Linked DNA regions of Arabidopsis thaliana. The protein of the gene in region 1 interacts with the protein of each later gene in a pairwise test. Each region holds a gene or a part of one and is shown in the gene's direction. Other genes may lie near its edges. The genes, in order: AT2G38510, ATERDJ2A, CPK26 and AT3G57220.

Region 1 (4,395 bases):
CAAAAACTCAACTGGCTACATATATAAACGAAGAAACAGATGTTCCCAATAAAAAAAACTTTAAAAAAAAAAAAAAAAAAATAGTTCAAAAAAATAAGGAAAAGACGAGTAAATATGAAATTAATTAGAGTGGACGACTAAGGAAGCGTACATAAATACGAGGGGAACTTAAGACATTCTTCTTCTCTCTCACTGTCTCTCTCACACACACAAACTCGTAGCTAGCTTCTATGGCAACCCTTTTTTCGTAGTCACCAACATATAAATCTCTTTGATATAAGTGAAGAAGTGTGATATATAGTATATAGTATATACAAATATATATGAGCATGTGCAGGTCTAACATGGAAAGCAGTGAATCTGGAGAGATTATAAATGGAGAATGCGATGTTTCAACATCCGTCAAAGGAGAAAATAGCGGCAGCGCCAAATTCTCTGCTGGTCTCCGTCGCATCCCTTTCAATGAGGCTTGTTTCTTTTTCTTTAATTTCTCTTTTCTTGTTCTTACATTTTCTTCAACAAAAAAATTCCAATTAGCTTTGACAAGTCATCACTCTGCTTATTCTTTGATTTCATAGTTTTCTTGTGTTTTTGTTTGTACTACTAGTTTTCGTGATCAGGACCATCCTAATATAGAGACGTTTGCTACGTTTAACCAGAGAATTTGGTGATTTTTGATGGATTATTATATTGTTTTCAGTCACTTTCGCAGTATTTTTTGGGTCTGGTAAATAATATGTAGTTCTTGGAAATTGATCTTATACTGGATTGAATGCTTCTTTTGACTGTTTTTATAGCATTTTAACCGAATATAATGCATCCCTTTTAAAAACATAGCATGAATAATGCTTCATCTATCTTTCACGTACTTGAGAAATACAATGTTGAAAATTCATTTATATATAAGTTTTCTCTGTATATATATATATATATATATATGTGTATATATGTTCATATTTATGCCTAAAGCGTTACTACTTACTACTAGTATGATAAATCCTCACTTTCATGGACTGAAAGAGATGCTTTTTGTGTTGTACTTACTTTATATTTCTTGACAGTTGGGTTGTACTTACTTAGGAAAGTGTTCTATATAGGTTTCCTCTCACTCTATTCTTTTTATCAGTTTCTTTACTTAGTACAAATATAATCTAGTTACTTTCCGATTTATTTTCTTGAAATCCTTATCCGATTGTTTATGAAATGTCAATAGTAGTTCATGATACTTTTACAAGTATCTATGCGTAAAATATTTTTTATATGTTTTTAAAATGTGGATATTCTTAATGAAGATATCATGAAATGAAAGGTAATATCTAAGCTGATTTTGTTTTTTCAAAAAGAAAACAAAAAAGGTGAGCTTTTAAAAACCCATGATGATTTTTATTTAAAAAGATCCTAGAATGTTGGTACAGTTAGCCATTCGCTTTTCTGGCACTTGTGAATTTGATTATATATTCAGTTCTAAAAGTTATAGAGTTTAAACCTTTTTCTCTTCCTTTTTCAACTTTCTCATCCCAGTCCCAGTGGCCATGTGATGCGACCATCTTCCTCGTGCTTACAAATTGTTCTTAATTTTATAATATGATAAAATATCATTTTCCGTATTGTAATGTAATGTCCTTCTGTTTCACAATAAAATTAATTTAAGATTTTATTTGACAAAAAGAAACAATTAAGGTACAATGATTTTTTTAATAACTCATGTATAAAAAGCTCATATAAATACCATTTTCATACAACTTATTAGAAAAGAAATTTGTTTGTTTATTGTGATAAAAATATTAATAAATGATATACCAGAAAATTTAATATTTTTAGTGAGTGCAATATCGTTAATTAAACGAAATTAAATCACGTACAAAATATTAAACATGATTAAAAAAGGATATTAAAGACTAAATCATATTTTGAGGATAATTTTTTTTTTTTTAATATACAACATACTCGTGTTGCGCTCTTTCTATACACTAATATCTTCTCGAGTGCGTTTTGCTAGAACTAGAAGCCTATAGAACATGTGAAAAAATAAAGAGTTGTTCAATTGAAAAACCTAACAAAAATAACATAATTTTTTAATTTTATTTTTCCCATGCAGGTGGGAGAGGAGATGGCGTCACTCACAAAAATAGCTTGCCCGATTGTGATGACATCACTCCTCATATTCTCAAGATCAATAATCTCAATGTGGTTCTTGAGTCATCTCGGAAAAGTCGAACTCGCTGGTGGTGCACTCGCTATGGGCTTTGGAAACATCACTGGAGTCTCCGTACTTAAAGGCCTTTCCGTTGGTATGGACCCAATCTGTGGCCAAGCCTTCGGAGCCAAACGTTGGACCGTACTTAGCCACACGTTTCAGAAAATGTTCTGTCTCTTAATTGTCGTCTCTGTTCCAATCGCCGTTACGTGGCTCAACATCGAACCCATTTTCCTACGGTTGGGTCAGGACCCAGATATTACCAAGGTAGCCAAAACCTATATGCTCTTCTTCGTCCCTGAGCTCTTGGCTCAGGCCATGCTCCATCCGCTTCGAACGTTCCTTAGAACGCAAGGCTTAACATCACCGCTCACGATATCTGCCATTGTATCCATTCTTCTTCATCCTCTCTTCAACTACGTCTTTGTCGTGCGTATGCGTTTAGGCGTTAAGGGTGTGGCCATCGCAATGGCTTTCAACACTATGAATATCGACGTGGGACTGCTCGTTTATACGTGCTTCTCGGATTCTCTAATCAAACCGTGGGAAGGGCTCGCTTTGCGGTCACTTTTCCGCGGCTGGTGGCCGCTGCTTTCTCTAGCCGCACCAAGCGCTATCTCGGTGTGTTTGGAGTATTGGTGGTATGAGATCATGCTTTTTCTTTGTGGGCTTCTTGGGAACCCTAAAGCAAGCGTGGCCGCCATGGGAATATTGATTCAGACCACCGGGATACTATACGTAGTCCCGTTTGCTATTAGCAGCGCCATTGCAACCCGTGTAGGTCACGCTCTTGGAGGCGGCCAACCAACACGGGCACAATGTACGACCGTGATTGGCTTGATACTCGCGGTAGCGTACGGTTTAGCAGCTGCTGTTTTTGTGACCGCGCTTAGGTCGGTTTGGGGAAAGATGTTCACGGACGAACCGGAGATTCTCGGGCTTATTTCGGCTGCGCTTCCGATCTTGGGGCTTTGCGAGATTGGAAACTCGCCACAGACGGCTGCTTGCGGAGTCTTGACTGGGACGGCTAGGCCTAAAGATGGAGCACGCGTTAACCTATGCGCATTCTACATTGTGGGCTTGCCTGTGGCAGTTACGACCACGTTTGGGTTTAAGGTTGGGTTTCGTGGGCTATGGTTTGGACTGTTATCTGCGCAGATGACGTGTTTGGTAATGATGCTTTATACGTTAATCCGTACGGACTGGTCTCATCAAGTGAAGCGGGCAGAGGAACTTACCTCCGCTGCAGCCGACAAAAGCCATTCGGAAGACGAAACCGTCCATGCTGAAGTACAAGACGATGATGATGTGAGTAGCAATGATCTGGAGATTGGTTTACTACAAAATACGAATTGACTAGTTTAGCTAGAAATGTTAAAATTATCAATCGACAATTTTTAACGGATTGTTAATGATATAGGAAACTTTTTTTTTTTGGCAAACTAAAAATACCGAAGATAGATTTGTGTCCGAACTGTTAACTAAGATTTTGTGAAAAGACTCAGCCATTTAATTGGTTGAGCTTAGCTTTTTCTAACACGCAGAAGTATGTAGTGAGAACAGTTGTGACGAATCTATCAAGGATCAATCAAGATCAATCACAATTCTACTTATGTAAACTATATATTCTGTAATTAGAAGTCTCTAGAACATCTAGTCTGTATATAAACAATGTAAATCATCTCAATACAAATCATCCAATTCTATATTCTTTATATGGTATCAGAGCATCATCGATACCTAAAAATAAAAAACCTAAAAACAGCCGCCTCTCTCCTTTCTTTCTTCTTCTCCCCCGTTGATTTTTTTATTCCTCTGTTTTTCAAACTTCAACCATGTCGAATGTTTCTTCTGAAACCGTCAACCTCAACAACACCTCCATTGTTCACATGAACATGTCGAATGTGACAAAACTTACGGCCTCCAATTACATAATGTGGAGCCGCCAAGTCCACGCTCTCCTTCACGGCTACGGTCTCACTCAATACCTTGATGCGACAAAAGCTGCTCCAGCTCGTGAGATTACCGTCAACGACGTTGCCTCTGTGAATCCTGAGTATGAAGCCTGGAGTAGACAAGATCAATTGATCTTCAGTGCTCTCATCGGCACTCTCTCTCTCACCGTCCAACCAACGGTGTCCCGCGCCGCTACCTCTGCTGATGTTTGGGCCACTCTTGCTGGTACCTATGCCAAACCG
Region 2 (6,698 bases), on another chromosome or scaffold:
GAGGGGTTTATTAAGAAGCCCCCAGGGTTGCGTTCCTCTCTACTTTTCCTTTTTTCTTTTCACACTTTCTTTTCCTTTTTTTTTTTAATTACTACTTTTATGTCCTTTTCTTCTAATACTATATCTTATGATATTTATTTTTGCCTCTCTTTCATAATTTACGTAAACAAATCGAGTCTACAAATAAAAATTATCAAAACCAAATTAATACATTTGCGTAAAGCTCTTCCGTCCAAAACCAAATTATTTATAAGTTGAAAGATTATACAACTAACTTTGTATGCGTTAATGATAAACAACAATAATAATTCTAAACTATTTGAAAAATATTATTAGCTAGTAAATGATTTCTGAGTTGGATTTTTTCGAGATAATGTCACTGTTTACTGGCATTTCAATCCTACTGTTGCAAACCTTATTTTGTGAAATATTCTTAGTGTGGACAAAAATCTTGGATCGTAATCATCTAGTACAGTACTTTCTAATCGTCAATTAGATTGAAGAACTATATTAAATGTTTACATATATTTTTGGTATCACTTGCTTCTTTATTTGCATCTTTCCTACCTGATCTTAAGTTTACTCGGTTTAAAACTACTGTATATAGCAAACTTGCAATGACATGCAATATGCTATGATTGTTTTCTTTTGTTATAAATGTTAATATCATATATAAAATGAAAGAAATGTATTACAAAAGAGCATTAACCTAATCACCAGATTGCGAAAACCTTTTAGATGTCTTCTTGAAGATATGGTATTGCAAATTTCACGGTCAAAATTCTTGAAAATGATCGAAGAAAGCAGTGACTGTGAATTATGTAAGACATTATTTACTTGTTTTCAAATGTGGTAAACTCCACCGTGTGCTGCCATTTTTTTGAGAGTGGAAGGAACATTTGGTGAACGAGTTTTTGTCCAAGAGAGAAGCTCAAACTATGTGGAAGGCATATGCGTGTGCTGCCAGTTTCTTGAGAGTGGTAGGAACATTTGGTGAACGAGTTTTTGTCCAAGAGAAAAGCTCAAACCATGTGGAAAGCATATTCGTGTGCTGCCAGTTTCTTGAGAGTGGTAAGAACATTTGGTGAACAAAAGCTCAAACTATGTGGAAGGCATATGATGCGAGAAATGCTTAACCGAGAAAAAAATTAGCCTCCAAATCTCACAAGCAAAATCTCAAGTTAATAAGCATTTTAGCAGTGGTGTCTATGTACAACAATATCATAATATGAAAGCCAGTAATAAAATTTAAATGGTATGAAAAACGATAATAGCTATATAATAACATTTTCTTTGTTTTTAATATCTATATTTTGTTTTAGTTATATATAATATTAACATGTCAACAAAGTTTTCAAATAACTGATTATTTAATATAATCAAAACAAGTAAAATTATACGATATTTGGCTAGATTTAAAACGACTATTTTAGTGAATCGAATAACCAAATCATACCAAACTCATTCAAAATCATTATTAGCTTTCGTTACAGTAGATAAAAAAGTATTGGTAACCATGCTCTTATAAATTTAATTGAATTAGACAGTTTATGATTAAATCGATAATAATAACGAAGATTGATGTATTTTGCAAGTAGAACAATTTATTTCTGGTCGAAATATAAATAGTTACAACAAAACAGTTTTCTTAAAATCATTAAATATTTGTTTTGTTTAAATCTCTATTTTGTTGTAACTATTTACAATCTCTAGATCACATTAAATCTCTAGAACATATAAGAGATTTGTTGCAATCCCTATTACAATATCTGGATCACATTAAATCTCTAGAGCATATAATCCCTCTTTGATCCATATCCTTTTCTCTTTTTCCTTTCTAATTTATAAAAAATGTGATTTTTTTTGGGAAATTCGTTTTCGTTCACCATAAAAACTTTGCTATTAATAATTACTCTAATTTAATGGAAAATAAATAACTCGTAAAAATGTAAAGAGAGAAATGAATTGCGAAATATTTTAATTGAGAAGGTAAAGAAAAGTGAATAAGCAAGTAAAGAAGAAAGAACTCACCAATCAGAAATCAGAAATTAGAAGAGAAGAGAAGCATAAAGAAAAAAAAACTGCAACGCCGTTTGTTGCCGATCTGCAGCAGCGCGATCTCTCTGATTATAGAGAGCTATCATCCTAGGTGAGCTTCTTCTTCGATTTCCTCTTCTACAATATCCTTTCAAGTTCGATTTCATCTTCTTTCACCAATTATTGGTTTTGCTTCCTTCCCGTAGTTTCGTTTGTTTGTTTTCTAAGGTTTTGTGTCGATCTCAAAGTGAGTCCAGGGATTCATATACCTTTAGACTAGATTAGCCGAGATCTATTAGTGTTGATCTCCGTCATGTAGAATCCCTAATTAATTTCAGTGGCCTCAGATCCAGCTTTTCATGTTATTGATAATTTTGTATCCTTGAAGCTTTTTGGATGTTGTGAGATTATAACAGAGCTTTTCCTTTCAGCAGAATAGAATCTCTCAGTTTAAAGGCTCCAAAGATGGCGGCGTCAGAAGAGAATAGCGCATTGTTTCCCATTTTTATCTTGACGATTATGGCAATTCCTTTGGTGCCTTACACCATGGTCAAGTTAAGCGGTGCTCTCTCCAAGAAACAAAGGACCATTCATTGTCAGTGTCTCGAGTGTGACCGTTCTGGAAAATATAAGAGATCCTTGTTTAAAAAGGTTACTTTCCACTCAACCTCCTGCTCTGTAATAGATTATTGCATGTTCCTAACCTCTTCTTCACTTATCTATCTGCAGATCTCTAACTTCTCTACGTGGAGCAACTTGACACTTGTGCTACTCTGGGTCGTGATGATTTTCTTGATTTATTACACTAAGAACATGAGCCGTGAGGTAATCCCATTGCTTGCTGTTGAACTTGAATGCACCGCTGACTTATATCAACTAATTCTACTTGCTTATTTACCTTCTTTTGTGTTACAGGCTCAAGTTTTTGACCCATTCAGTATACTTGGACTGGAACCTGGAGTTACAGATTCAGAAATAAAGAAAGCATATAGAAGGCTGTCGATTCAATACCATCCTGATAAAAATCCAGATCCAGGTCAAGTTTTTCCCCTTGTTATTTTTTTTTTCCCTTTTGATCATTACGGAATTATGGTTGCAGCTTTTGATCCTGATAGTTTTTTCTTCTATGCGCATTTGTTGATCTCTACAGAAGCCAATAAATATTTTGTGGAGTTCATATCTAAAGCATACCAGGCTTTGACTGATTCAGTATCCCGTGAAAACTTTGAGAAGTATGGTCATCCAGATGGCAGACAGGTAAGGATACATCTCCTTTCCCTTCGCATGTGCTCCCGTCTTATTGACAAGCCTATTGAGACTAAAATATTGTTATGTGATCGCAGGGATTTCAAATGGGCATTGCTCTTCCTCAATTTCTTCTAGACATTGATGGAGCATCTGGTGGCATATTATTGCTTTGGATAGTTGGTGTCTGTATTCTCTTGCCCCTTGTGATTGCTGTTATATATCTCTCGAGGTCATCAAAGTATACTGGGAACTACGTTATGCATCAAACACTCTCCGCATATTATTATCTAATGAAACCCTCTCTGGCCCCAAGGTATATTCACTCATACCCATATACATTCAAGTGATGCTATTGGTGCATGACAAATGGGCTGTGTTTTCGTTTGTTTGTATGACATGTTTTAAAATTTTTATTGTCCAGCAAAGTTATGGAAGTTTTCACCAAGGCAGCTGAGTACATGGAGATTCCAGTTCGTAGAACTGATGATGAACCTCTGCAGAAGCTCTTTATGTCTGTTAGGAGTGAACTAAATTTGGACCTGAAGAACATGAAGCAAGAGCAAGCTAAGTTTTGGAAACAGCATCCTGCCATAGTGAAGGTGAATTTTAAAATTATGCAACTGTAATGCTAAATATTGGATAAACTGAAATACTCACTTCCTCAATTTCTGTACAGACCGAGCTGTTGATACAAGCCCAGTTAACTCGTGAATCAGGAGTCCTGTCTCCAGCCCTTCAGGGTGATTTCAGGCGTGTGCTAGAGCTTGCACCTCGCCTCCTTGAGGAGTTATTGAAGGTCTAGTCTCTATTTAAATAACACAATTTCTGATAAAATAACCATCAAAAAGCGATGACCGCAAAGTGCTAACCTAGAAGATATGTATTTTCCTTTAGAGGAACTCGAAACAGACTCTTAAAAGACTTAGAAATTTAGGTTAATAGTGATGCTTTTGGTTACACTGTTAAATTGTGGTTTTCTTAACCATTCTTTCATTATAACATTGTGAGTTTCTTGCAGATGGCGGTTATACCACGCACTGCCCAAGGGCATGGATGGCTGAGGCCTGCAGTTGGAGTAGTTGAGCTATCTCAGTGCATTGTTCAGGTCTTAAATTGCTCTCATCGCCTATCTTCTAGTTTTTATTTGTTTGTGAGCTTTCAGTTCTTTATGTCTCTTTTCTCCACAAGATTTACTTCTTCCTGAAAGTTTAAGAAGTGCTTAGTGTTGTTGTCTAGGAACATAAACTAAAAATCCAAAATCGCAGGCTGTTCCTCTTAGTGCAAGGAAGTCTTCTGGAGTATCATCAGAAGGCATTTCCCCTTTCTTACAGCTCCCTCATTTCAGTGATGCCGTTGTCAAAAAGATAGCACGGAAGGTATACTACTATCAAATGTGTCAAGTGCAGTACTAATATCTAGTTCCATATCATGTGCATTTTTCTCTCACTTTTTGATTCCTGAGAATCTTGTTGGATTCTGTTCTCCAAATAAGTAGTAGTGGTTCTTTAGGTTGGTTTACTTAAAGGTCTAGTCTAAAGACATATATAAACCTCCATTTTATGTTAACATGTCATTGTTTCTCCTATTTTCAGAAGGTTAAATCATTCCAAGATCTTCAAGAAATGAGGTTGGAAGACCGTTCTGAACTACTTACTCAGGTAGCGGGTTTATCAGCAACTGATGTTGAGGACATTGAGAAGGTGCTAGAAATGATGCCGTCTATTACAGTCGACATCACATGTGAAACAGAAGGGGAAGAGGGGATCCAAGAGGGAGACATTGTGACCCTTCAAGCTTGGGTCACCCTGAAACGACCCAATGGGCTTGTAGGCGCTCTTCCTCATGCACCCTACTTCCCCTTCCACAAGGAGGAAAACTATTGGGTTCTTCTGGCTGATTCAGTGTCGAACAACGTTTGGTTCTCTCAGAAGGTTAGCTTCCTGGATGAAGGTGGAGCGATAACGGCTGCATCAAAAGCCATCAGTGAGTCAATGGAAGGTTCGGGTGCAGGGGTGAAGGAAACAAACGATGCAGTGAGAGAAGCGATTGAGAAGGTTAAAGGAGGGTCAAGGCTGGTCATGGGTAAACTCCAAGCACCGGCAGAGGGAACATACAACTTGACTTGCTTCTGCCTGTGTGACACATGGATCGGGTGTGACAAAAAGCAAGCACTGAAAGTGAAAGTCCTGAAAAGAACCAGGGCAGGGACACGTGGGTTGGTTTCAGATGAGGGTGCGATTGCAGAAGAAGGTATGGAGGAGGAAGATGAGATTGAGGAGGAGGATTACGATGATGATTACGAAAGTGAGTACAGTGAAGATGAGGATGAGAAGAAAGATATGGATGAGAAGAGAGGGTCGAAGAAGGCCAATGGGAGTGTGAAACAGAAGAAAGAGTCGAGTTCTGAAGAGTCGGGATCGGAGGAAGAGTGAAACAGAAATGAGATTTTACATTGATAAACAAAACAAAAAATACAATACTTTTGTCCTGGAATCTTGACGGAAACTTCTTTTTCACAGTTTTGATATTCTCTCATTGGCTCCCTTCTCTTTCTTTCTCTCTGTATCACTTTTCTTCAGAGACACACATACAAGCAAAACGCGACTAAGGAGAAAATCGTACTAACTCGGACAAATTTTGGTACACAGCATTACAAAACAAAACAAAACTTTTTAACTCCCCCAAATAGTTTAGGGTTTAGGGTTTATTGGGGGCCCCAATACAGACCATCAGGTATCAGGTAATGGGCCTTGTTAATAAAGTAGTGGGTTATAATGGGCTTTACGGTTGTTTCAAGAAGTGGAAGCCCTACAAGGCGGGAAAATCAGAAGAGGCGCGTCTGCTTCCGTCTTCTTCTTCGTCTTCTCCGGAGAGGTTTTGTGGTGTTATCGGCGGAATCCGACCCGAAAATGCCAAATTACAGCATCAGAGGAATCAATGTTGAATTCCCATTCGAGGCGTACCAGTCTCAGATCATATACATGGACAGAGTCATCGAGTCTCTTCAAAACGTGGGTTTCCCTCTCCCTCTCTCTCTCTCTCTTTTTTACACACCAACTCTCTTCAACTGTTTTGTTGATGATGATATTCGCGTGATGATACTCTCTCTCTCTCTCTCTATTCTGTTGTTTATTTTGCTTTCCCCAATTCTATATCGCTTTTTAGGGTTCTTCCCCGTTCACACTGACCATTTGGGTTCTTAAATTAACGCTGAATTAGTTGTTAACTAATCTTGTTTATAACTTGTGATGATGATGCAGAAATGTCATGCGCTTTTGGAGAGTCCTACGGGAACTGGGAAAACTCTTTGTCTTCTCTGTGCCACCTTAGCCTGGCGAAAGAGTCTGGGCTCTTTCTCAACCCGTAAGGATCGGAAGAACAGTGCCATTCCTTGGTCCGATTCAGACGAGCCT
Region 3 (5,686 bases), on another chromosome or scaffold:
TACTACAAGATTGCACGTAAGGACTGGTTTCTCTTTTCTCTGCGTCCCTCCAGCTCCATTACTGAAACACTTTTTAATACAGGTCACTACAAGTGGGCACTGGACCAGTTGTTTTACAAACACAAATTTAGTCGAGTGATTATACTAGAAGGTGGCGCTTTTTAACCTTTCACACTCATCGTACCTTGCTGTTGTATTGTTTAAGAGGGGCTGTCTTTACCTTGTGGAGTATTGCTTAAGAGAGGTTATCTTGTCTCTTTAACAGATGATATGGAAATTGCTCCAGACTTCTTTGATTACTTTGAGGCTGCAGCTAGTCTCATGGATAGGGATAAGTATGTTACCTACTGAAGCTAGACTCTTATAGTATAAGTTTCCACAGAGTATACAAATGTTTTTATTACTGTTTCTCATTCTTTTCTGGTCCAAACATGTGTTAGAACCATTATGGCTGCTTCATCATGGAATGATAATGGACAGAAGCAGTTTGTGCATGATCCCTGTAAGATTCTTCTTCTTCTTCTTCTTTACCTTGCTTCCTCTCTTGCCTGTTCTTTCAATACCTCATTATGTCTAGCTCATGCGAGCTAAAATAATCTGCAGATGCGCTATACCGATCAGATTTTTTTCCTGGCCTTGGGTGGATGCTCAAGAGATCGACTTGGGATGAGTTATCACCAAAGTGGCCAAAGGCATATCCTTATATGCTTTTTTTTCTTTCAATCTCGATGACTATAGTTTGACGCTTCTTAAATTCTAAAAAAAAAAATAGTTTGACGTTTCTAAGACTTTTCTTAACAAATATCCACTTACTGGGATGATTGGCTGAGACTAAAGGAAAACCATAAAGGCCGCCAATTCATTCGACCGGAAGTCTGTAGAACATACAATTTTGGTGAACATGTTAGTACCCGATTATGCTATCCTATATATCATAGTTTTACAAGTCTGTTTTTGTAATGCTGTTAAATTGACCTATGTTCGCTGCATATGACTTCTGCTTTCTGTATGAAAAATGTATTATTGCAGCTTCGTCCTATAGTTTCCCGACACATGGATGTAGACAGTCAATACCACATAATATATTTTTGCATTTCATACTTATCCATAACCTTGTTATATTAATTTGGCAGGGGTCTAGTTTGGGACAGTTTTTCAGTCAGTATCTGGAACCTATAAAGCTAAACGATGTGACGGTAAGCGTAAGTGTGTTTTTTACCCCCTTTTGTTGCATCACTAGTTTTCACTGGTTTCCTATTTCATTCATAAAGGTTGACTGGAAAGCAAAGGACCTGGGATACCTGACAGAGGTAACATTTACAGAACTCCGGCCTTTTTTTTTTATACCATTTTGCATGTTTTGAGTGGAGAAATGTAGTTTTTAACCTGTTCTCTCATGTCTATCAAAGGGAAACTATACCAAGTACTTTTCTGGCTTAGTGAGACAAGCACGACCAATTCAAGGTTCTGACCTTGTCTTAAAGGCTCAAAACATAAAGGATGATGTTCGTATCCGGTATAAAGACCAAGTAGAGTTTGAACGCATTGCAGGGGAATTTGGTATATTTGAAGAATGGAAGGTAAATTTGAGATGATTGAACTATAATCTTCAATAATTGTAGGTCCAAATGGGTCACTTTTTTTGTACCCCTTTGATTGTGTAGGATGGTGTGCCTCGAACAGCATATAAAGGAGTAGTGGTGTTTCGAATCCAGACAACAAGACGTGTATTCCTGGTTGGGCCAGATTCTGTAATGCAGCTTGGAATTCGAAATTCCTGATGCAAAACATGTACTTCTCCAACCAGCATCATTTACATCTTAACCATTGCTTACAGTTCTGTGCTAACCGGGTTTCACAAGCAGATGAAAGGAAAAGAAGATTTTGGACCGCATGCAGCCTCCTTCTAGCAGCTGTTAGGTTGTATTGTTATTTATGGATGAGTTTGTCGAGCGGTGGGGTTAACTTTAACAGCAAGGAAGCTCTGGTGACCTGGCTGATTGGCTTAGAAGTTATGGGAACCCCTTGAAAGGGTCAGGGTTAAATATATTTCAGTTGTTTTATTAGTGATTATCTTGTGGGTAACTTATACGAATGCAAATCATTCTATGCAGTTTTTCTTCGTCCCACTTGTTTTGGCTTCTCTATTGCTAGTGTACATATCTCTTCAAACATGTACTAAATAATGCGTGTTGCTTCAAAGAAGTAACTTTTATTACATCTTTGGCGAGTAGCCAATCAAGGCACTCGACCCATCTTCTCTGGTATAACCCGTCAACTAGAATCTGAGGCCATGGGATCATTAAAGGTTTGTTCCGATGCGACCAATTGGAGGTCTTGATTTGTCTCATGTGAAGTAGGCCTAAGAAAAGAGCCTTGTGGAGTTCCCCTGCATTTTTAGAATATTCTAATTAAAGAGACAGATCTGTTGATGACTATTAATCAAAGATATCTTCTTCTTTTGTTATTTTTAGTCAGGATGTGGAGACGTTGGCGAGAATATTGCAAAACCATGTTCAACAATGTGTATCATCGGATCTGCACCAATCTGACTTAATTTTCATCCATTCTTATCATCTTTGTCTGGTACACATCCATCTCTTCCTCTAATTCCCCTGTTTTGATGTCTCTCCTTATTATTGCGATTTCTTTATGCTAAATTCGTATAATGTTTCAGATCTTGCTATGGGACTTGCTCTGTTTTCCTCTGATGGCAAACTAATTTGGAAGGGGAGGTGAACTAACTTGGTAAGGGATTTGTTTGATGGGCAATTCTTTACAAGCCAAACCACTTCTAATACATTTTGTCTTTCAACGATTTGTTTCAGCACACAAACTGGCAAAAGACGCCCCCAGGAAGAAGCCACAATGAAGCACAGCGGTGGGAACCAAGCCTGCTATGTTCTTGGTCAAAAGACCCCAAGCATCCGAGATCTCTACTCGTTGGGACACAAACTAGGTCAAGGACAGTTTGGGACGACTTACATGTGCAAAGAGATCTCAACAGGGCGTGAATACGCATGCAAGTCTATAACAAAACGAAAGTTGATATCAAAGGAAGATGTGGAAGACGTACGCAGGGAAATTCAAATCATGCACCATCTGGCTGGCTACAAGAACATTGTCACCATTAAAGGTGCTTACGAGGATCCATTGTATGTTCACATCGTGATGGAGCTTTGCTCAGGTGGGGAATTGTTTGACAGAATTATCCAGAGAGGACATTACAGCGAGAGAAAAGCAGCTGAGCTGATAAAGATCATCGTTGGTGTTGTTGAGGCTTGCCATTCGCTTGGTGTCATGCATAGAGATCTAAAGCCCGAAAATTTCTTGTTGGTTAACAAGGACGACGACTTCTCTCTCAAAGCCATTGATTTTGGGCTTTCCGTGTTCTTCAAACCAGGTGATAACATCAGCTGCATCATTTGCAACATCTTCAGTCAGAATTTCACACTTGCTACATCATCTGCAACTTTCAGGTCAAATATTCGAGGATGTGGTTGGAAGTCCGTATTATGTTGCTCCTGAGGTTCTGCTCAAGCACTACGGACCCGAGGCTGATGTGTGGACCGCAGGGGTCATACTGTACATATTGGTGAGCGGAGTCCCTCCGTTCTGGGCAGGTATGCACCCAAATGAAACAACTGTGATTAGGCTTCCAAGGTAAAAGATTCTTAAATATTTGTTTTGCTTCAACTCCAGAAACACAGCAAGGGATATTTGATGCAGTGCTGAAGGGACATATTGACTTTGACTCCGACCCTTGGCCCCTAATATCCGACTCTGCAAAAAACTTGATCCGTGGCATGCTATGTTCCCGGCCCTCTGAGCGACTGACAGCTCATCAAGTATTGCGTAAGTCTAACCAGTTGCTCCTATTTCAGGTCCTGAATTAGTGTATCTGCTAGCTTATTTAGAATTTTGCAGGCCATCCTTGGATCTGTGAAAATGGAGTTGCGCCAGACAGAGCACTAGATCCTGCTGTGCTTTCTCGTCTTAAACAGTTCTCTGCGATGAATAAACTAAAGCAGATGGCTTTACGGGTAAGCCCCCGGCCGCAAGCCTTTTGGCCTTTATTGTGAACAATTTTCCATAAATGTCTTCTGCTGTGATTCAGGTAATAGCTGAGAGTCTCTCGGAGGAAGAAATTGCTGGACTGAAGGAAATGTTCAAAGCAATGGACACGGATAACAGTGGAGCGATTACGTTTGACGAGCTGAAAGCCGGGTTGCGAAGATATGGTTCAACCCTCAAGGATACTGAGATTCGTGACCTTATGGAGGCTGTAAGCACTTTGCTCTGATCTGATCTGTGTGAGTACCTGCTTGAAATCAGTATGTTTAGTATTAATCTGTGACTGTGATTTACCAGGCAGATATTGACAAGAGTGGGACCATAGATTATGGTGAATTCATTGCTGCAACAATCCATCTGAACAAATTAGAGCGTGAAGAACATCTTCTGTCAGCCTTCAGGTACTTTGACAAAGATGGGAGCGGTTACATCACTATCGATGAGCTACAGCACGCATGTGCTGAACAGGGAATGAGTGATGTCTTTCTAGAAGATGTGATCAAGGAAGTCGACCAAGACAATGTGAGTGACTTATGCATACATATCCTCTGGCTTGGAGAGTACATGGTCAAAGGCCAGGGATCATTTTTTTCTTCTTGTTTCAGGATGGAAGGATTGACTACGGGGAGTTTGTAGCTATGATGCAGAAAGGCATTGTTGGAAGAACAATGAGGAAAAGCATAAACATGAGCATCAGGAACAATGCCGTCTCGCAGTGAGAAGCAAGCAATCTCACGATTATGTACAGGTTAAGCCTTTCTCACTTTTTCAAGGTAAATTCCATCAAATTCTTTCCCAAACTGACAAGTCTATACATCGGTGTACGTGAAACAGTCGTTTTTGATAGAGCTGAACGAAGATATGCAAAAGCTACAAAGCTCTGCAGAAATATGGTTCCCATGGTCTGGATCCTTCCCGGTAAAGATTGAATCAACAAAGGCTCTGCATTCTAAAACGAACTGATATGTATTATTAACAGATAAACTGAATCAAACATCAGTATAGGAAGTCATATGAGATTATTGTAATTTGACTTATGTGCACACATCCTACAAAGAAAATTATAAGAATGATCTGTGGAGATTTAAACGATTATTGATCATACATCTGATAGAGCAGTCTCTCTCCCCATTGTTACCTCCTGCGCAAAGTAAAAGAGATAGAATAATGACCACAAGTTGCAAGGAGAAGAGTATGTAGTTGTCAACAAAGAAGATTATTGGTTACCTTTAGCTTAGAATCGCTAGAGAAGACGCAGCTGGATGTGATAGCATGGCCTGGCTCAAAGACCCATCCTACTGAAAATACTCTTTCGCGGTCTTTGCCTTGTTGGAGTGAGCACCACAGCTCTTGCGGAAGCAATAAAAGATCATTTTCTTCTCTCACAATCTCAATCACCTTCTCGCCAGTAACTTGTTGTATACAACCCTGAACATACTCACAAAATAAACAAACTTACGGCAATCATCGAATGGAAGTACACACTTGAATACACAGTGTAAGGACGCCAACTCACGAAATCAGAGGCGTGAAAGCTAGTGGTAGCAAGTAGAACTCTCCAAGAACCGGTAACCACTGAAGCTGCAGTGGTAGGTGTAGCAGCAAAGCCGGA
Region 4 (5,589 bases), on another chromosome or scaffold:
TGACTTAAACCTTACAGAAACTTAATGTTTCAGACTGAGAACATGAGCAATAATTTAGAAGAGAGTACTTAAGTCAAATTAGTAGCAACCAGGCATTGACAAGTACTGATAAGGTTGTGGACCATAACAACCAATAAGAACAACTTAAAAGAACTTATACATGTTGGACGTATGATTTAGTAGTTACTGCATTGTTTAAACTTTTCTTGTTAAAATCTTTCTTACACTTTGATACAAAAGAAAAAGATGGTCATATTCTTAAATACTTTATAGTTTGTGCCTTTTTCATGTGATACATAACTCTGAAATCTAAAATAAATTCTTATTACATACAGAAACTATTCAAGGTGGAGACATTTAGGAAACCGTACAACACACAGAAACCAGTCCACTTAACATTTTACCAAATTAATAAGTTTAATAATATCATCTCTAATCCAAATTTTGAACCGCCATGGTTTTTGTAAGCCTTGCGCCGTCAAAGTTTAGATATCCGCCATGGTTTGGGAATGCTGAAACGCCGTAAGAGAAGTTTCACGCTCAGACTCGTACCCTTTTTGGGTATACTTTCGGATGGCTGATTCTATGGATCTTGTTTTGCGAAGACGATGAGCCAAGCCAACGCCATGGTTTGTGCGCCGCCGCCGCCATATCTGCCGTGATTTGTGAATTAAACGCTGGGACAGAAGTTTGCTACTCGTAGCCTTCTTTTTGGGTATGATATCTGAGCTTTGATTCCAACCGTCGAGACTAAAGCATCCCGTAGTCTCATTGAAGGTTTCTTCTAACTACAGCTATGCGATCAAGGTTCTGACCACAGCGAGCCTTACAAAAGTCAATGTACCTTATGTAGACAGTTGCATTCTTAGCAGTGAGAGAGGACTCACTGGGTGGCTCCATAGTTTGAATGGCTACTGACACAATCCTCAAGCCGGAAAGATCATGATCCGTGGTGGTCCTATCAGATATGGCAACAGAAAGTTCCAGATACAGACGAATCCAGTCATTGGCTCGCAGCTCTGATTCATCATCCACCACGTAAAATCGGTTTCTGTTTTCGAAAGGGTTCTCCAGCGGGAACTCAGGCAAGCTACCCATGCGGTAGAATTCTCTTTCCAACGACGTTTTAATGATTGTCCCTAAAATATACAATGATGAATGAAATACTAGTTGTTGTAATAATAATAATGATGTGTTAATGAACACGCCTACCCAAGTAAGGAGTCACATGTAGTATAATAATAATTTAATTACCTGGACGACGTCTTTCAGCAATAAAGGAGGTCAAAACAAGCCGGCCACAAGCTTCTTCATAAACGGAAGTCTGAAAAGTAAAACGCCTTCCACTAGATGGCTGCATTGCAACCAAAGTAATGTAGAAACAGCAAGCACCAGCAGCCAGAGTCCTGTTGTATCTCTTAACGTGAGAGAGCTTTAAGTTTGTCCCCTGATAAATCAAAAACGAAATTTGAATAAAAAGAAGAGCAAGAGTGGATAAAGAAAGAGAAGAAAGGAAGACAAGAGTCTTACACTTTGATTAAAAAAAAGATAGTATAGTTAGTAATTGCCTAATTAATTTCACAAAGAGAGATGATAATCAAAGAAGTTAAATAAGTCTATGGGATGCATTCTTAATAGTAATCTTGTTAACTTCTTTCTTACATTATGAGTCTTTGATTATATAAAAAAAAAAGATATTAGTAATTTGCCTAATTTCACATGAATCCCATAGACTTATTTATTTCTTTATACTTTGCTTTTTTGGGCCTTTTTGATAATTCATAAATAAGTGGTGTTGATACGATGTCGTATTGTTGTGCGTGGGCAAGTTGTAATTAAATGCTACAGGCTTTGAAGCTTCAGCGAAAAGTGGAAGAAGCAAATCCAGAGGCGGGGAACCAGAAATAGCCAACGGATCCGCCATGACTGCTCGTAAGAGAACTCCTTCAGTGTCCAATTCGGAGAAACTAGCTCTACCTGAACCTGCATCTTCCCCGACGGTTCAGAAGACCTCTGTTTCCGGAGAGGATTTCCAGCTCGCGCCGCCGAAATTGGGCGTGATTTTCGTGATCTCTTCGCTTCTGTGTTCGCTTTATCTTTACCTTCTCTGTTTCCACTACAATGTTGACAATGAGCTCAAGCGTCCGATCCTCATTAACGCTGGGCTTAGCTTGGTTGGATTCTTTGTCACACTCAAGTTGATTCCTGTAGCTGCTAGATACGTTCTGAGGCGTAATATGTTTGGTTTTGATATCAACAAAAGAGGCACTCCTCAAGGAGAAGTTAGAGTGTATGTTTTTCCTTCTTAGATTTGTCTTTGTTTAGTTCTCAGATTAGTGTTCAGCGTTTTTCTAGAAATGGATGTCTCTTAGATTTGATTTTTTGTATAGGAGGAAAACTATGAGATGTCTCATTTTCTGATTGATGTTCTATGGATGTTTACGCTTGATTTGATCTCAGGGGACTTAAAGTCTTTTGATGTGCTTATTTTCAGCAATCTTATTTCTTTGTAGGCCTGAGTCATTGGGAATTGTTGTCGGTATTGTCTTCTTGATAGTGGCGATTGTATTTCAGTTCTTTAATTTCACTGAAGATTCGGTGGTAAGTGTCCTGGTCTCAAAAGCTCAAGCTTGATCATTTATTTATTGTGAACTATGAACTTGGTAGCTCTTGGCTCATTTACTTTGAATGCAATTTATCAATCTGGCTAAATGACTCGGTGCAGTGGCTTGTGGAGTATAATGCAGCACTGGCGTCTATTTGCTTCATGATATTGCTTGGATTTGTAGATGACGTCCTTGATGTGCCTTGGAGAGTGTAGGTGCAGTTCTCATTTTGTTGGATTAAAAATTCATGATTTAGTTTTGTTTTCTTATTAACTCTTGTCAATTTGCAGGAAACTTCTCTTGCCATCTTTTGCAACCCTTCCACTGTTGATGGCTTATGCTGGACATACAACTATCGTCATACCGAAACCTTTAGTTTCTTATATTGGCTTGGAAGTGTTTGATCTAGGTACAATTCATCTTGTATATAGTGTTAAACCATCAATAGCTATTTTGAAATTCATTTCCTTAGTTGTATATTTATCGTGGCAGGACGTATATATAAGTTATATATGGCGCTACTGGCTGTCTTTTGCACAAATTCTATTAACATTCACGCTGGTTTGAATGGCCTTGAAATCGGTCAAACCGTAGTTATTGCAGCTGCTGTAAGTTCTGCTGTCAAAATGCGTCGCAATGCTTCATTTTTTTGGTCCCATTTTTCCTTCTGTTGGTTTCTCGTAAGTAAAGTTATGATAAATCTCAGTAACTTGTAGATTCTGATACACAACGTTATGCAAATCGGAGCATCTGTTGATACTGAGTATCATCAAGCTCATGCCTTCTCAATCTATCTTACTCAGCCATTGATGGCAACATCCTTGGCAATGCTTGCCTACAATTGGTAATCTTTGGATCTTTCAAGTCATTTTCTCTTAAATCAATCAGGTAAACTAGCAAAGCAGAATGCTTTCTCTAACCACGTTCATGTCCCCTCTTTGGTGATGTTAGGTACCCTTCTGCAGTTTTTGTTGGAGACACTTACACAGTCTTTGCTGGAATGACTATGGCAGTTGTTGGCATTCTCGGTCACTTCAGGTATACTTCTAACCATACCGTCCTTATTGCAATGTACTTAGATTCATCATTTACATTTAACTTATGTGTGAGCCTTCAATTAACTAACTACTTATGAAACTTTGCTTTTTGCAGTGAAACCCTGTTAATCTTTTTTCTTCCTCAAGTGTTGAACTTTTTACTGTCACTTCCGCAGGTTTGATACCTTTCTCCATCTCACACTTTCTGTTACTTTTCAATACATTTGAAAGCATCTAACTTGCTATTGTATAACTCTTCAGCTTGCTGGCATTGTCAAATGTCCACGACATCGTCTCCCCAAGTAAGCTATTTTTTGTCCATTTTTCATAAGAGGCAAAGCCAACAAGTAAACAACACATGACTCTTCCTCTCTCTTTTTTAAACCAGGTATGATCCTGCTACGGGACTGTTAACAGGAACAAAAGATGGGACACTCGTGAACGTCTACTTGAGGATTTTTGGTAGGAAAACAGAAAAGTCTCTATGTATTCATCTTCTTGTTTTCCAGGTAAACTTGTTAATGCCCATATTATCATCTCTAAATACAAGTTGGTTTATTCTGAGAGAGAGAAATCACAAGATTGGTGTTTTGTGTGTTCTATTGCAGGCTCTTGCTTGCGCATTTTGTTTCATGCTTAGGCATTTTCTAGCTGGTTGGTACAAATAAATCTCTGCAACATGAAGAAACTCTAAACCTGTTCCTCTTTTCATCTCTCTCTCTGCCTTCACAAATCATACAAACACAGAACTTGTTTTGCTTCATGTCCAACAATCTACTAGAATCATCGTTTTAGTTCACTTATATAGAGAGTTTTCATCTAAAGGCGAGTGTATCTCAACAATATAAAGCCAATGAAATGAATCAGAACAAATTTGTCTTGGAATTTAAATTTAACTACAAATGCTGATCTTATTTTGATAACTTTGATTAATAAACTAAATAATTTTTAGATTAAAGTTTTGCTAATATAGCATGCATTAAATGAAGTGTCCATTTACATATATTTTTGAATTTTAAAAATGCGCTTTTAATATTAGACAGACTACTGTCGTACTAGAATAATAAAGAATGTAATAAAAAAATAGAAGGAGAATCGGAAAAGAAACCCACTTATAGAATGCCATGTGTCAAAACATAACAAGCGAAGTATGTTTATATAGTAAGAAAACTCTTTTGCCCTAAATATCCCAAATTGTCATATGTTCTTTCCTTATGTGGCTCTCTCTTCTCTTTCTCTTTCTCTTTCCTTTTTCTCTTTCGATCAACAAAACCACATCTCTGAACTGAACCAATTTCTCTTCTCCCCCTTCCGGTTATCGGATTACCAGATCTCGTTTCCCGCGATCTAGTTTATTCTTTGAAAAAGGTAAATGTTCAATTTTTTTATTTTATTCAAAATCTCCCCTGGATTCAGGAGATGATGATTTGAAATTGACGATGATGTTTGTGTGTAAAAGTGATAGAAGCAGAAATGGGAAGGGGCAAGATCGCGATTAAGAGGATCAATAACTCTACGAGCCGTCAGGTTACGTTCTCGAAGCGAAGGAATGGATTGTTGAAGAAAGCTAAGGAGCTTGCGATTCTCTGCGATGCTGAGGTTGGTGTCATCATCTTCTCCAGCACCGGTAGGCTCTACGATTTCTCCAGCTCCAGGTACCTTTTTTCTTTTCTCTTTGGTTGACTTTTTTTTTGGGTCTTGGTCCATCTAATTGGTTGATTGATTGATGTAGCAAATTCTAAATCTCGATTTTTTTTTTTCTTTCTTAAGTCGATTTCTTGTTAATTGTTTGCAAATTCAATTGCTTTAGAGAAGGAATCGTAGATCAACTTAGTCTGATAATTTGCAGAAGAAATCACTTGGTTTGAATGATAATATGTTTTGTAAGGGGAATATGAGAGTGTGTTCTCTGTGTTGTTGGAGATGATTACGATATTTGTGTGGAA

Evidence for each region.
Region 2: the proteins of AT2G38510 (region 1) and ATERDJ2A interact in a protein complementation assay, tested with the Arabidopsis thaliana proteins (one large-scale study listed by BioGRID).
Region 3: the proteins of AT2G38510 (region 1) and CPK26 interact in a protein complementation assay, tested with the Arabidopsis thaliana proteins (one large-scale study listed by BioGRID).
Region 4: the proteins of AT2G38510 (region 1) and AT3G57220 interact in a protein complementation assay, tested with the Arabidopsis thaliana proteins (one large-scale study listed by BioGRID).

What each region holds. Positions count from the first base shown.
Region 1 is NC_003071.7:16,121,893-16,126,287, forward strand, and holds AT2G38510 (MATE efflux family protein), read left to right. Parts: upstream 1-2,092; coding exon 2,093-3,553; 3' UTR 3,554-3,643; downstream 3,644-4,395.
Region 2 is NC_003070.9:30,067,521-30,074,218, forward strand, and holds ATERDJ2A (DnaJ / Sec63 Brl domains-containing protein), read left to right. Parts: upstream 1-1,998; 5' UTR 1,999-2,149; exon of another isoform or gene 2,150-2,192; intron 2,193-2,468; exon of another isoform or gene 2,469-2,471; 5' UTR 2,472-2,502; coding exon 2,503-2,688; intron 2,689-2,766; coding exon 2,767-2,862; intron 2,863-2,952; coding exon 2,953-3,073; intron 3,074-3,187; coding exon 3,188-3,294; intron 3,295-3,380; coding exon 3,381-3,598; intron 3,599-3,706; coding exon 3,707-3,884; intron 3,885-3,961; coding exon 3,962-4,081; intron 4,082-4,303; coding exon 4,304-4,390; intron 4,391-4,550; coding exon 4,551-4,661; intron 4,662-4,877; coding exon 4,878-5,717; 3' UTR 5,718-5,920; downstream 5,921-6,698. Other genes in the region: AT1G79950 (RAD3-like DNA-binding helicase protein), read left to right, coding at 6,060-6,296, 6,546-6,698. UniProt on the Arabidopsis thaliana protein: Required for integral membrane and secreted preprotein translocation across the endoplasmic reticulum membrane.
Region 3 is NC_003075.7:17,928,101-17,933,786, reverse strand, and holds CPK26 (calcium-dependent protein kinase 26), read left to right. Parts: upstream 1-2,284; 5' UTR 2,285-2,586; intron 2,587-2,604; exon of another isoform or gene 2,605-2,677; 5' UTR 2,678-2,685; coding exon 2,686-2,735; exon of another isoform or gene 2,736-2,748; intron 2,749-2,828; coding exon 2,829-3,403; intron 3,404-3,479; coding exon 3,480-3,623; intron 3,624-3,702; coding exon 3,703-3,855; intron 3,856-3,927; coding exon 3,928-4,043; intron 4,044-4,117; coding exon 4,118-4,285; intron 4,286-4,371; coding exon 4,372-4,596; intron 4,597-4,679; coding exon 4,680-4,793; 3' UTR 4,794-4,822; intron 4,823-4,885; exon of another isoform or gene 4,886-4,908; 3' UTR 4,909-4,970; downstream 4,971-5,686. Other genes in the region: CGL1 (alpha-1,3-mannosyl-glycoprotein beta-1,2-N-acetylglucosaminyltransferase), read left to right, coding at 1-16, 83-151, 266-335, 441-502, 604-694, 810-903, 1,134-1,196, 1,272-1,310 and 2 more; AT4G38225 (glycerol kinase), read right to left, coding at 5,005-5,016, 5,180-5,215, 5,302-5,502, 5,591-5,686. UniProt on the Arabidopsis thaliana protein: May play a role in signal transduction pathways that involve calcium as a second messenger.
Region 4 is NC_003074.8:21,172,594-21,178,182, forward strand, and holds AT3G57220 (Glycosyl transferase family 4 protein), read left to right. Parts: upstream 1-1,801; 5' UTR 1,802-1,922; coding exon 1,923-2,290; intron 2,291-2,513; coding exon 2,514-2,601; intron 2,602-2,725; coding exon 2,726-2,817; intron 2,818-2,896; coding exon 2,897-3,015; intron 3,016-3,098; coding exon 3,099-3,214; intron 3,215-3,322; coding exon 3,323-3,450; intron 3,451-3,557; coding exon 3,558-3,644; intron 3,645-3,758; coding exon 3,759-3,819; intron 3,820-3,904; coding exon 3,905-3,945; intron 3,946-4,031; coding exon 4,032-4,152; intron 4,153-4,251; coding exon 4,252-4,311; 3' UTR 4,312-4,601; downstream 4,602-5,589. Other genes in the region: AT3G57210 (uncharacterized protein), read right to left, coding at 769-1,139, 1,255-1,360; AGL16 (AGAMOUS-like 16), read left to right, coding at 5,117-5,298.